Struthio camelus: one gene and its partner. The protein of the gene in region 1 purifies or fractionates together with the protein of each later gene. This does not show direct contact. Links are inferred from orthologs where the notes say so. Each region holds a gene or a part of one and is shown in the gene's direction. Other genes may lie near its edges.

The links.
Region 2: the proteins of SOD1 (region 1) and TKT purify together in Homo sapiens (affinity purification with mass spectrometry; 3 studies listed by BioGRID, with this or other methods). This does not show direct contact. The link is inferred for Struthio camelus from reciprocal best matches to the Homo sapiens genes SOD1 and TKT.

Annotation. Positions count from the first base shown.
Region 1 is NC_090942.1:119,551,594-119,559,518, forward strand, and holds the start of SOD1 (superoxide dismutase [Cu-Zn]), read left to right. Parts: upstream 1-4,922; 5' UTR 4,923-5,295; coding exon 5,296-5,370; intron 5,371-6,075; coding exon 6,076-6,169; intron 6,170-6,691; coding exon 6,692-6,761; intron 6,762-7,925. UniProt on the Homo sapiens protein: Destroys radicals which are normally produced within the cells and which are toxic to biological systems.
Region 2 is NC_090955.1:17,493,443-17,500,367, forward strand, and holds the start of TKT (transketolase), read left to right. Parts: upstream 1-3,905; 5' UTR 3,906-4,132; coding exon 4,133-4,239; intron 4,240-6,925. UniProt on the Homo sapiens protein: Catalyzes the transfer of a two-carbon ketol group from a ketose donor to an aldose acceptor, via a covalent intermediate with the cofactor thiamine pyrophosphate.

The DNA of each region.
Region 1 (7,925 bases):
CGCGCACTGCTGACTTTTAGATCACCAGCTCTCTGCACAGCAGGGCCCCCAAACTCCCCAGAGGGAGAGTGGAAACGGCCAGTCCTGTGGTGGTTCAGCAGGGGAACCGCATAATCCATTGGATTCACCAGAAATACACACTGGAGTAACACGAGCAGGCTTTGGCCCTGTCTGAAGTATTTAAAATCCAGCTCTTTGAATGTTAACCAGCAAAAAAATTCAGCGGACAGATCGTGAATAGCACCAGTGCCTGAGAAGGGTTGTCGTAACTTGTGGCCTCAAGTGCTGGTGCTGGGTACAAAGGTCTTCACCAATATTTACACAAACTTGTCCTCTGAGGATCATATTTCAAGTGTACTCAGCTTGTACAGCAACGCAGAATTAGGGACTTAATACCTCAATTTAGCTACTAAAAGGACAACAAGATGTCAAAAGTGAATGTTATGTTTAATCTTTTATGTTCCATTCAAAGCCTTTCTAGGCTGGCACTGTTTTAATTATATGAATACTTTGGTTATCAGCTCTACTAACTCTTAATTGGAATTACATGCTTTGCACTAGGGAGTCTGTCACAAAGTTTCTAATGTAATAACTCCTGATTTCCACAGTGCTTTTCATCTTCAAAATGCTATACAAACATTAACTGAGTTAATTACCTCTCCCAGAATCCCTCAGAGGTAGGGAAGTGTCATTACCCACATGTAATCAAATGGGAAGACTTTAATGGCACACGATGCATTTTCCAGGACAACGCAAAGGCTCAGGGTTGGATTGGGTTCTTCAGGATAGGTGTTTGGGGCTCTCTGGAATGCAACAGAGAGCCTGAAGGGGGGCACAGGGGCTGGCAGGTAGGCAACAGGAGCTCAAGGACCCCTCCTGCAGCAGCAGCTAGAGGCCAGAGGAGATACCTGGAGGTATCACAGATGGGGCTAGACACCTATGTGTAGACAGCTGAGTCCAAGGACAGGGCAAGCATTAGATTTTTGCAGATTTTAGCATTTAGGATCTAGACTGTGGGACTCTGAAGGACCTCCCCCCCACCTCCCCCCCGCCATACACACACACACAAGCGTCTTCTAGACCATTCATAATACAGAATTATCTACATGCAGTACAGCACTCTCCTTACTGGGTACGCCTGAACAGACATGCACATCTTGTGTTCTCTATGTATTAAGTGATTCCCAAATGCTACAAGTCTTCTATGATTCCACAGCACAAGTTGATACCAACATTGGGAATTTAGCTTCCACATTTCTGAAGGGAAGCTTTAGATAAGAAGACCAGGCAAGCAACGCATTTACTGCAGCGGGAAGCCACTGCTCACTGTCTTTGTGTAATCAGGCCTTTAAGCTAAACAGAACGCACTCACCCACTGAGATGCAAAAATGGGTTCAGAATAGCCATAAATCTGCTCCCAGAGCAGGAGGAAGGACTGCTCTGATCCAGCCCTGCTAGGATCCTCAGTTGCTGGAACGTGAGGCTGCAGAGAAGTAATGGTTGTTTCCTTTCCTGGCATGCTAGAATAAGCTCACCTGCACTTAATCTTGCCAGCAGCCTCCCCTTCAGAGATGCACATTCAAGGAATTAATGGTCCTACAGAAAGAATTATTATTCATGTTGTTTCAGTTCACCTTTGTTACTGTGAAAGAATAAACATAAAAATGACATTAACGTAGATTAATAACGTATCTAATCTTGATGGGTGAGCACCTATGCACAGAAGCTCAAGAGACCTGGAATGATGCTTCCCATGGCAATCTTAGTTTCACCTCATATCTTTCCAGAAGAGTCATCAGAAGTAGAAATACTATACATTTGCACAAGGCTTCAGAGGTATGGTTGTCATGGGAACCATAACTCCTGAACTTCTAATTTTTTAATCAATATAAAATCTGAATCAGAATGCGAGTTAATGTGCTGCAGAGGCTTAATGCTTGATGGATGCCATATTTTTACAGTACAGAAAGTTTGGGATTTTTTGTTATTTTTGCACGTTTTGCTTAGAAGTTGATTAGTTGATGAGTCTATGTAGATTAGACATCTGTTAACCCACATGACACACTACTTCATTTGTTGCCGTTAGCGCTTTAAGTTGGCAAATTAGGAAACAATCAGGGCTAACATGAATCCTAGTTCTTCAGAGATTTACCTGCGAGTCTCTCTATGCGATGTGAGCAGCCCTTTTGACCAACACTAAGAACGGCTTCATTCCCCTGCTAAAATGGATACACTATGTAGCCAATTGCAGAATGGAGAAAATATTCAAAATCATGTGTCCACCTAGCCCTAAGCCTGTCACTCCCATACTTGCTTCAACCCTCTGGGCTCCAGTTCAGTCCTCTTTGTTATCACTGCAGCTATGAAGGTGCGAACAGGCCCGAGTTTAGACTTTTTCCAAGGTAAGATGGCAGAACAAGAGTATAGGTCAAAAAAGAGTGGGGCTTTGGTGTCAAACAGTAACTGCCAAAGTTGCAAGAGACCACACTTCCTTTCTTATGTCTGACAAATCGCCTGTCTGACTGTAGTTCATGCTATCAAAGTTAGTAATCCCACCTGGCAGTTTGTTCTTTCCTCTCTGGTTTGACTCTGATATTCTGAATAAAAAAACCAATGTGTTACTGCCACCAGACACTTTGTTCAACTTCTTTGTGGTGGATTTTCACAAAAAATGTTCCCTGCTAGCAAGATTTAAGAAAGTAAAAAGTGAAATGAGTGAAATGAGTGAAAAGGAAGTATGTGGGGAAAAAAAATCTCTAGCTTCTTACGCAAGACTCCTGTGAAAGAGTATTCATGTAAACCAATATTTTTGTATTACTATTGTACCGCATGTAGGAATAGAAAACACTCTAAAGGGTGAGGCCACAGCCTGTACGTGATTACTGATCTGCACATACCATACAAACTCTTGTATGTTAGTCCTTCAAAATCATATCTTTCCTTTAGCCTTCTACCGCTGACCTCTACGCTGTCTCTTAACATGTCATCTTTGTCAGCTGCACTCTATCTGAGAGATCAGGCATCTCAGAGTTCAGGCTTTTTTCATAGAACTCTGTAACCTGTTGGTCACACCTAATGCGACAAACTTCTGAAATTATTACTTCACTTTACGTATGAGGAGGCTTGGCACATCTGGCTCTTCTCTTTGGTAGAGCTGCTTATCCATCTGCTTGTCGTACATTCATGTAGAGGCATGAAGAAGGGTGGATCTTGAGAACTTATCTCCAGGAAAGAAAGAATAAATCTGTCTGATAAAAACCAAGGCAGATCTGGAGACAGGCCTAAGAATAAGAAGAAGCACCATAGCAAAGCACTCAAGATGTTTCTCCTTATGAAAAGACACTGACAAAAAAAAAAAAAAAGGACATCGGAAGCCAAAGATGGTAGATAGCATAATGAGTCACTACTATCCTTCCACGTTTACAAGCCATTTTTTAAATCAAACAACATTTGCCTTGAGGGCACTGAAATATTTCCTTTTGATCCAGCCAACATTCAGGATGATGGAGGTTGTGCCATTACCACAGACTTCTTTGTTCATGAGCAATTTACAGTCTTTTCTCTCCATGCACAGCAGGAATTAAACTCCAGGAAGATCATGAACTCTCAGTGCCGAGACGCCTCCTATTTGGGATGCAGCCCAGCTCTCTTTCTCTCTCAGCATCTTTTCAGGATCAAACTACAAACATTTTATCTATCTGTCAGACTAATGCTCCCTGTGTATTTGGCATTTTCCTTCCTGCTGCTTCTTTCTCAGAGAAATATGCCATTCAACCAAACGAATCTCTGTTCCTCACAATTAACGTCAGGCCCCCATAAAATTCCTGGGATTCAAAACTGAGCCTAACGTGTGAAACAGGCCTTGTGCTCCCTTCCTTAACCATAGGGCATTCTCTGCCAGGTGTCTTAAGATCACCAGGGCCCTCAGTCATACACGCAGACTGCCTCAAGGTACAGCTATTATACGATCGTTTTGGACTTCTGATTCAACTTGCTCATCAGTAATGCAGCAGGAAAACAAGGAACATGGCTTTACCAAAAAGGCGTTTATTAAATGCGATCATTTTATTCTTAAAACTCTTGGAGGTTGCAGCTCTTCATACAAAAGTGCACAGATATATCCTCCCTGAGTCCGATGTTAATTTTCCCTCGGAGCCTAAGGTTTGTCAGCACGGAGAGAATTTGTCACCTCTTCCCTACACACCCCTCAGACAAGTAGTCCTCATCAGCGGCTACACCAAGAGACTTTCCACGTTAAGCACAAGTCTGCCTGAGCTGTGTACTAGATACCCAGCCTGTGATTGCGGGCAGCCGATGGGCAAAGGGGGCTCCGAGAAGCCCACCGTAACCTGACAGTCAGCAGCTGAGCAGCAGCACCACCAACTCCAGACGGAAACCCCCGTGGCTTTTGCACGGGGAACAAAACACCTTCTGGACAGGGCCACTTCTTTGAAGCGCAAAGCTAGGCTGAGGCAGCTTTGTAAGCGCGCTCAGCTTTTCAACTGGAATTCTCAGTAGGGAAACAAACAAACAAAAAAAGTACAACAATACACAGAAGGGAAAAAAAAGTTGCAGAAAATGACAAAAAAATGCTGCGGATGATTCTTAATCTTACTGCCTCAGTGCATGCCTGTCACAAAACGTGTTTTTCACGTCAGTATGAAACCCTAACGCGGTGAGACCTAAAAACCGAAAGCTCATCCTTTTCGCGGGGGAGGGGAGGGGAAGGGTTTAAAGTGAGCCTGCTTAAGAAACACCCCGCTTCCCGAACGCCCGAGCGTCGCGGCGCCGGCAAACACAAGAGACAAACCCCCTGCGACCGTTCAGCAACCAACGCGAGCTACCTGGGCCAGCCACTCCCGCAGCCAACCCCCCGCGGGGCGGCGGCCAACCGCCCCAACGGTCGCGGCGCGAGGCGCCGGGGGGGGGGGGGGGAGGCGGGGCGGCCCTCGCGCCGTTGTTTATCGCCGCCGTCAATCCCGCAGCGCCTCCGTTACACAAGGCGGCGCGCCCCCCCCTCCGCCCCTCCCCCGCTCCCCGCGGCCGGGGGAGGCGCCTCACCTGCCCATTGGCTCAGCAGCGGGCGCCGCGGCGCTCCCTCCCCCTTTATTGGCCGCAACCCGCGAAGTAATTGATCGAGGAAGCTAAAAAGGCGCGCTGTGATTGGCTGCGGCGTTGGGGGGGGAGGAACGCGCTATATAAGAGCCGCCGGGCGGAGGGGGCGGCTCTGCAGTGCTGGGGCGCTCGCTGCGTTGGTTGTTGCTGTTGCGCCGCTCGTCCGGCCGCCGCGGGAAGATGGCGACGTTGAAGGCCGTGTGCGTGATGAAGGGGGACAGCTCCGTGCATGGCCTCATCCACTTTGAGCAGCAGGCAAGGGCCGGCGGGTGAGGGACCGGTGGGGCGGCCCGCTCCGCTCAGCCCCGCCCCGGCCTTGGGGGCTCGCCAGGTGCTGAGTCATTGCCCGCTGCGCGGGGGCGGCTGCCCCGGGCCGCGCGGGCTCGGCCGCGGCTCGGCCCCGTCACGGGGGGACGGGGGAGGGTTAGGCCTGCGGTTGTTGCGCCCCTGGGGGCCCCCTGGCAAGGCTCGTTACTGGAGCCCGCCGCAGCCCTTCTGGGAAGCCTGTTTGTCGCTGCCAGGGTGGGACTTTACGTGGGTCAGTCTGCTGCGTGGTCTGAGCCCTTTTCCACGCTTCCCGAGTTGGCTGTTCCCCATAGCTGGGACTGTACTGAGGTAATGCTGTGCCTGCGAAGGAGCACCGATGTTTGGGGTTGCTTGTGCTTGCATGCTGAAGCACGTGGTTACTAAAAGCAGGTAATCTTAAAGAAGGCATCCCTCTTGTTTGACAGATTAATCGGAGGAATGCTTTCTAGGTGGTTAAACAAATGCAAGTTTTCTGTGAAATGCTGTCTTGGCAGATGGAATCAATTCATGCAGGAGGGTAACCATTCATGTTGGTTGCTGAACTTGCAGTGGAGTCTCCAGTGCTTTCTGTTGACCAGAAAGCTTCATGTGCTGCTATTAGCCCACTTAATACTGTAGTCATTTAGGTGCTAACAAACTCTCTTTCTACTGAAGGGTGATGGACCAGTAAAAATTACTGGAAAAATCGAATGCTTGGATGATGGAGATCATGGCTTCCATGTCCATGAGTTTGGGGACAACACAAATGGTAAGATCTGTATCTAGGCTTTCCAGTTAGAGCTGTATCCTGACTGTTCAGCTGTAAAGAGCTTCTTCTAGTGTTACAGTGCTGACTAGTATGAAATGTACTTGGTAGTCTGGTGACTGCAAGACTGTTTTATGAAAGGATGACATTCTCTAACAAATTATTTCCCAGTTAATACTCTAAACATGTTTAAACTAGTCTTCAGAACCTGATATATCAAGCACTAAAATACTACGATGACCTGGTGTTAAGAACTGAGAATGCTACTTTCAGCTAAACCAAGAACATCTGAAAATGTTCTGTATTCCAGAACGTTATATTTTATTGGACTCAGTAAGGCTTGCAAGTCTGTCATAGGTTACTTGCCTCCAATGGATCAGGATAATATCTGGCATGAGAACAGCTATTTTATCATTAGAGAGTTTGCTTCCTCTCTCTGTGAGAGGACTACCTTGTTGTATTGTGTAGACAGGTTTATATTGGCTGTGGTGAAAACCTACACTTCTGATGTCTGATCTGTTTCAGGGTGTACCAGTGCAGGTGCCCACTTCAATCCTGAAGGCAAGCAGCATGGTGGACCAACTGATGCAGAAAGGTGAGTTTAATGTGCCTGATCCTTTATTGGGTAGCTGTTCAACTTTAAGCCAGCAGCTCTTTAAGTGAGACCCCTTTCTGCCTGGGAGACCACTTCCTGGATCATGCTAGGACAAAGCTAGGGAGAAAACTGGCAATTCCAGCAAGTCTTCTAGGGTCAGTTAATACAAGTCCTGCTAACTGGAATGGTATCTTGGCTATCTTTGCTCCAAGAGTATGGATAGGATGTAGTCTTTGAGATGTGTTCTTGGCTTAATCACAGCTTGGAGAGAGATTTATTTTTTACTGAGTGAGGGTATTTCAGGATGTGGGTGAAGGGGATTCATGTGTTAATGTTCCACTTGGTCAGTGGTGACTTGCTTCTGTGTCAGGGCCCTGCTCAGCAAATAGCCTTTCACAATGGGCCTTCATCTGTCAAGGACCTATTGACCTGTATGCAGGCCTGTTATGTGGCAAAATCGGGATTATCTGGGGAAGGGATTGGAGCTGCAGGGGGACTCTAAAATGAATAGGAAGCTGAGTGTGCCTGGCATGGTGGTGGTTTGAGTACTAGGCTGTGCTCAACTTTTCAGCCTGGGCTGTGCTTAACCTGTCAGCTCAGGCACTGTACTGCTTACAGGACATTCTCTTTTAGGGGATCTGTGCTGAGTGCAAGTATGGGGTCTGTTTGTTCTGAACACTACTGAGCCTCAGTGGCAGTTGAGACATGGAGCTGAGGCCTAGTTTTTTTCATGGGAGCAGTTTCATAGTCCAGTTCCTTGAAGGGGCCTTTGCATGTCTGATACCCATACTATTTAAACCACTTGCTCAGGCTCAAATAGTATACTCACTGGAAAGGGGCTGTGCAAGAACTGAAGGCCAATGTGGCAGCAAGTGTACAAGACCAGCCCGTCTTCTACAGATAGGTGTAGACTTGGCAGTGTGATATGATTTAAATGCTCACCTAAAGTCCATAGTCGCAACTTCTGTGACTGATAAATGAATAGCACAATGTTCAACTGCTTGCCAAACCAAGCTGTGGCTGCTAGTCACCTGTCTGGATGATGGCAGTATGAAGTGGCTTGCTTGTGGGCTTCCCAGGCAGTCAAATGCTCCTGTGCTAAAGGCCAAAACTGCATGCACATCATGGCTTCTGCCAGTTCTGCTTAGTCAAACTCTTCTCCTA
Region 2 (6,925 bases), on another chromosome or scaffold:
ACATGCCACTTCAGTAGATCAAAGTGGAAGAACTAACACAAGGTGGAATTTCATCCTGTGCATGCTTGAGCTGCTGTTTTAACAGCACAACCATGAATAAGCACTCAATGATGCAGCAGAGGAGGATTCAGGGAAGGAGGGTGAGTTGTGGGCAGTAATCTCCCTATGACATTATCTGAGTTAAGTCTATCTTAAAGAAAGCCTTTGTACCATCCAGATAACAATGGAGAAAACAGTAAGCTGTGAGCCTTAGTAATACTGGTCTTATCCAGATCATCCCCCTTATTTTCTTACAGGAGGAAAAAAAGAAAGCACCATATGTCCAGCCTGACAAGGTAGATTGCTGCAGTACGCTTAGAAGCCACTTTCTTAGGGAGCATATATTCACAGTAACCATAAACTTGATCACAGGCCTTACTCTGCAGGCAAAGGGTGAAAACAGCCTGGGCTGATACAGCCAAATTTGCAGCTGTGGTCTAGTCAAATGCATATGTAAGAGCTGAGAGGAAAAACAAAGGGTGTTGACTATGAAGCAGGGAGTGACTGAACCCTGTTTACATAAAACATGGAGTAAATCTACTAGAAGAAGGAAAAAAAAAAAAAGTAGAAATTGTTTGTTTGATTATTCACATGATACCCATTTTCGTTATAATATTTTTTTACTGTGTTTATAGATACTACTAGCTAGCTAGAGGAACAAGGTACCTGGATCTCCGGATAAGCTTTTTATTTCCTGATGCAAATGTCATTCTGGGAAACTTAATGTCTGCAGCTGAAACTGGAAGGTTGGACAGCCAACTTCTCATAATGTGTCTTCAGTTAACACTTGGTACTGTGAAGGTTTGTATCATAGCCATTATTTCATTTGTGCCTTCCTCTCTCTCTCCCTCTCCCTCTCTCTCTCTCTCTCTATTGTTTCTTTCCTTCTTAAGGTAGCTGATCTTGCTTGGCCCCGTTTGAGGATCTGACTCCCTCTAAACCATAGTTTCAGGTAGACCAGTCTATCCTACCCAACCTTGCCCAAGTGATATGAAGTTAATAATACAGGTCCATGACATAATGATTGAGCCAGGAATCAAGATCTGTCTGAAGAATAGTATTTAAACAGTATATTTAAAACAAACAAACAAACAAAAAAATCACTTCCCCAGGACAGCCATTTTCTAACAACTCAATCAGTAAGCATAGAGCAGACCTCAAGCTAACACTATTGTGCTAGTAACTTAGTTTTGTGTCTTTTTCTACATCAGCAAGTAGGAGATCCCAGCAAAGCAGATCTGCAGAGCGTGCAAGATGGGGCTGAGGACCCAATATCAGCCCTATATGTGTTTTTGGGCTAGTCTGGAGTAGAATTCCAATCTGTTCTGTTGGCCTGAATAGCCATTAATGGCTGGGATATATTAGCTGCTTTCTCAAAGAGTGAATTTTCAGTTCTCTCTACATTTGAAATGAATCTAGTTTCAGCTCTGAGACTTTTCTGCAGTGCAAACCAAAGCACAGTGAGCAAGGATGATGAGATTTGCTTCAGAAGTGTACTCCTGGCACAAGCTAATTTAGACTTATCCTCTGACTGTGCAGCCAGAGTATAGTCAACTGTGGTGATAACTACAGTGAAGCTAAAAGATAGTGGTAAGGATGCAAGGAAGCACAGAGGAGAGGCAGGAAAGCTGTGTAACCCTCACTCTACAGTAATGTTGAACTGTTTTTAGGCTTATTTGAGATGATGACACAGCCAGATCACTAGGAAGATATTTGCAGGTATATAGCAAGCACAACATTCAGTTGAGAATCTTTAATGGAGCCCTACAGGATACTGGGAACCTAAAGCTGGAATTTACGGCTATTCCTGCAATAGTTAAGGTTGTTTTCACAATCCGAAAAGGAGGAGGTCGACAGTTCTCTTGTAGATCTTACTAAAGACCTTAGATCTTTCATAGTCTCCCTTGTGACTCTATTCCCTTGGGTGTCATAGCTCCAGGAGGAACTAGACCACAAAGAAGTCAAGTACTATTCAATTAAAAATTCAAAACCTCCAGCATGTCTAGCAGTTCTTTTTCTGTTTCCTCAGCTAGGATCTTCTTGCTATGGTCTCTTATCCAACAGTAATTACTAGTTGCTGTGTTGATATAGCATGTTATAAGAGTAAGTGATGTGTCTTTCTGTTCCTTGAGACGCTACCAGACGTGCACGGTAACCCTTGTACTTCGGTTCTTGGCTGTCTGCTCTTATGGGACTTTGCTCATGTTGTTGGCATTATGGATTTCTGAAGAATCAGTCTTAAATTCAAAGCAAGGTTTATGTAATTCTCATCAGCCTCTCCCACATTCCAATGTCGTTGCCTGTATCGTTTCAGGGGGTATTATTAGAATTAAAAGGTGTGGGTAACTAGTTCTACAACGGTAAAAGAAAGTAATTGGCCTAATTATTTAAACATATAGATTAGAGCATAGTAAATAGCAGTTGTAGCAGTTAACTTTTGTGTAGTGCTCTCTAAAATGAACTCTGAGCTTTGCTACTCCCATTTGTTCAGCTCAATTTTTTCCTCTTTCCTGGGATGTAGCCTATTTCTAGCACAGCTCTTTTGAGGTTCTTTAAAAAAAAAAAAAAACAAAAACAAAAACAAAAAAGGGATTTTGAAAAAGACAACTGATAGAACAGGGTAAGAACAGGTTAAGCTAGCAGGGTGGTGTCTGCTTTTATTTCTTCCAATAGAGTGGTTACTTTGTGGAAGAAAGTTTTTTGTTTTATCTTTCCTTATTAAGAGTTGCACATTGTTACTTTTTTAGCTGCGCTTTGCCACAGGAGCATGGCTACTTTATAAATAAGGGCACTTTCCTTTGTTTCTGAAGCCCAACCCCTTCAGTCTTGAAGAACAAGGCCCGTTTTTTTTTTTTTTTAATGTAAATAATGCACATCAGTATCATCTTCTGAAATGAGATAACGATAGCACTTGTTCACTACATGTAATAGTTCATATTTAAAACATATTCTGAAATGTATTTGTAGTTAGAGAATCATAAAATACAGCTTACAGAATCCAGGACAAACTTCTTGCAGGTAGGACACTAAAGTGTGTGGAAAGTGCTGTGAAGGAGGACCAGGCTTAACAAGCAAAACTGGTAGTATTTGGATTTTTATTGTTTGTTTTCTGTCTGTTTAAACACTTTTTCCTCCCAGATGTTGAAATCTAGTACTGCTAGGGCTTTCTAGAATAAAATTGAGCTATTTAACTTGAAAAGTTAAGTCTGTAGCTGGAATGACTTGAATGTCTGAGTTTTCCAAATTGCTAGAGAAAGTACATTTTGTGCCTTGTGATGACTGGTAGGGCTTGTATTTCAAAGAAAGCTTCTCTGAATTTCTCAAAGGCAGAGGGTTTTTTTAAAGGTATATTATAAAAGCATGCATTATTTCTTGAAAGGAAGCTGCACGTGCTAATTTTGTTCCTCTATACCGTCAGGGGAGACGGCAACAAAATTAGCGTAGGTTTGATGCAGTGACGTTTCTTTTATGCAAAAGAAAGAGGCTAGAGCTGGGAAGGCAGACTCCTCAACCCCCCTGCACTCCCCCTAAGACGCTTGGCGGAAAGACATGAACTCGAGGCCCGTCAGGTGGGACTGGTCCTTCGCCGCCCCTGACAGAGCCTCGGTTCCCTCAGTCCCGCCGGCGAAGCGAGGAGCCGCCTCAGGGCGGCCGTTACCTGCCGGCGCGCGCCCGCCGCGGCGCCTGCCGGGGGACGGGGGGGCGGGGGAGCCGCGCTGCTAACTGCGGCTGCGCGGGGCCCGCCCAGCGCCGCCTGCCGCCTGGCCAAGCGGCAGCGGCGGGCAGGGCCGCCAGGGGGAGCCGGCGGCCCCGCTTCCCCCCTTCCCCCCCCGCCCCAGCCTTCCGCGCTGGGCCGGGCCCGCCCCTGCTGCGGGTGGCCGCGGCGGCGTGCGCGACCCGGCCACGGCGGGAGGCGGGGCGGCGCGGCCGTGCTTTCTCTCTCTCGCTCGCTCTCGCTCTCGCTCCCTCTTCCCCTCCGCCTCCAGCGCACGGCCCGGCTGCGGCGCGCTGCCCCCAGCCCTCGCCGAGCGCCGCCGTCCCTGCCCAGCCCGAGGTACCACCGCTGCCGCCGCGGCGCTCCTGCTCCGGCCCCATGGAGGACTACCACAAGCCCGACCAGCAGACGCTGCAGGCCCTGAAGGACACGGCCAACCGCCTCCGCGTCTGCTCCATCAAGGCCACCACCGCCGCCGGCTCCGGGTGAGCGGGGTGCCTGCGGCGCCCGCCCCTGCCGGCACGTGCAGGGCGGAGGGGGAAGGGGCTGTGCCGCCTGCCCGCCGGCACGGGCAGAAACCCCCTCCTCTCTCCCTCCCCCTTCTCCGCCCATTTTGCAAAATACCGAGCGTGTGAGGGGTCCCGGGGGCATCCGCGGTGCCGGCGGGAGGGCAGCGGCGTGTATATGTGTGTGTGTGGTTGGGGGCGGGGGGTGGAAATCCGCGCTGTGAGGGATGGGGAGGCGGCGTGGGGGAGGGCTGGCGCCACGCGAGTCACGTCCACCTTGCCCGAGACACATCGCCGCGCCGCGGGCTCTGCCCGAAACCGGGCGGGGGGGGGGGCGCGAGGGTGGCCGTGCTCGACGTGAAATCATGGCGGCGGGGGGCGCGCGGCGGGGGCCAACGGCCGCCCAACGGCCGCCCTGCCCTGCGGGGTCAGCGCCTGCCGCGCCTGCAGGGAAAACCGCCACGGCCCAAGTTGATGCAGGGCTGCAAAAAACAAAGAATTTTTTGCCCGAGGCGCAAACGGTTTCTTTTTCATTCCGTGCCCGTCAGTTGGAACTAATTCTCCACAGAATTTCAAGTGAGCCCAAGTGGGATTATCTGTGAAATGCCAGCAGTCTCCAATGGGCAGTTTATTCAGGCCTCTGGACAGGATTTAGTTTAGGCTCTGATGTGTGCAGATTCCAGGGTTATCCTTCCTTTGATCGTGCTGTACCTACGGAAAAAAAATCTCGGCAAACAATCCTTTTCTGCTCATGTAAAATTAAAGCCATTTTTTCTGCTTGAATAATACACTCGAGTGCCTCAATATGGGCTACTGCTCTTTTATATCCTATTTTCCTGCAATTTCCTCCCTTTTGACATCTTTGAAACTAGCTGTAGCATTTCCAAAAAAGAAAAAAAAAAGTTAAAGGATACTAAGGCTCGTGTGGAGAAAGCTGATCTCTAAAATTTCCTCAAGCTTCCTCTCTGAATTGCCTTAGATTCTCCAGCCTGTTTCTGGCATGGGCTACCTCTCATGGCGTTTCTCAAAGCACTCAGAAAGTGAACTTTGCTCGTTCCTTTCACACATAGCAAGTGAAAATGCTGCTCTGGTTCTTTCTGCAAAATGCAATGCTGGGAGGACAGGAACCTCTCGGCCAGCCCAGCCCCGGGAATGGGTTCTCGCTAGGTGGTAGCTTGTTTGATCCGGTCTGTGGAGAGAAGTGCAAGATGCCCAGCGGTTGCTCTTCACTTCTTGATTTCTTTCAAAGCTACAATGTATAGGTAATATTACACGAGCCTATATGAAATTACAGGTAGGGAAAATGGGCTAAATCTGCTTAGTACAGCTGAGGCTTCAGTCTTGAGCTTATAGTGCGTGCTTTAAGGTGGCCACAGAGGAGGTGTGTGATATCAGTTGTCTTGTCTACAGATATAGTTATCTCCCTGTTTTGTCTGATGTGCCCTTAAAGAATAAGGGACTTGGTACAGCCTTTGCTTTCTCTTCTGCTGTTCGTGAAATTCAATAGTAATAGTGTTCCTCCTATACTGATGAGCAAAGAGTAAAAATTATTTAAATTAAGGTTTTTATATTCCCCTGGTTCATATATGCTACAAGTGTGGCAAGTACTTCTTACACAAAGATACTTCATTAATATGTGCTATAGCTTATTCTGGCATTACTTATGACTTGTGTAGAGTGTGAAATTATTACGCAACCTGGTAGTGAGCAGATTATGAAAGATGGGAGGGAAGACTATGCGGACAGGTTGTATTTTCTGAATTAATAAGACTTGGTTACCAAGGTGGTGATGTAGTAATATGCTTAACGGAAAAGAAAAAGAAGTTTAGGGAGCTCACAATTTGTTGCAGTGTTAGTGAAGACACATGCATTTCTAAAAGGGATATACGTTATGTTTTTTAGATTCCCGAATGAGACAATAAGCTTAGCTTAAAGTGCTGGTATACAGTAAGAAAGTGGATAGATGTTTGAGCGCAGGTTATATTTAAATAGAGGCTTCCTGTTAATAAAAGATTGAGTCATGCTTACATTGACTTTTTCAAAGAAATTCATATTTGTTGAAGGTGTTGCTTTTATTGCAATTCACGCTTACAAACACTTCAAACAAAACAGAACCTGCCTACTTATTTCAAGGAAGTAATTTCTGTAAACTGACATGTTTTGCAAGAAATGTAGTACGATGGTAGATTTGACAAGCCAGGTCTTGCAGTCTTTACCCATATTAGCGTTTATTAAAGCAATTGCAGGCTTTGTCTGGACAAAGTCTGAAAGATCAGGTAATCCGATCCTGAAGATGCTCAAATACATGATTTTGATATGAGGACTGCTTTACCAGCTGCAGTGGAAGAACTCAGTCAACTGGAAACACTTTTATATACTTAATCAATTTTTCCCCACCTAAGGCGTTTCAAGTTAGTTGCAAAGATTGAGAACGTTTTTGCTTTTGGGTGTGGAAGTTTGTTTTTTTTTCTTTTAGATAAGTAGTGCAGACGTTTGGACCAAAACTGGTAGAATCCCATTTGTGGCTAGCGATAAATTTCTGCAGTTTTGAAACAGTGCCTGACTTCCTAGAATTAGATGGTTACGTTCTTGAAAGTGGAAGTTGCAAAGATTTCTTAAGAGGCAGTTAAATTCATAACATGAGGTATTATCGCTTGTCACAGAT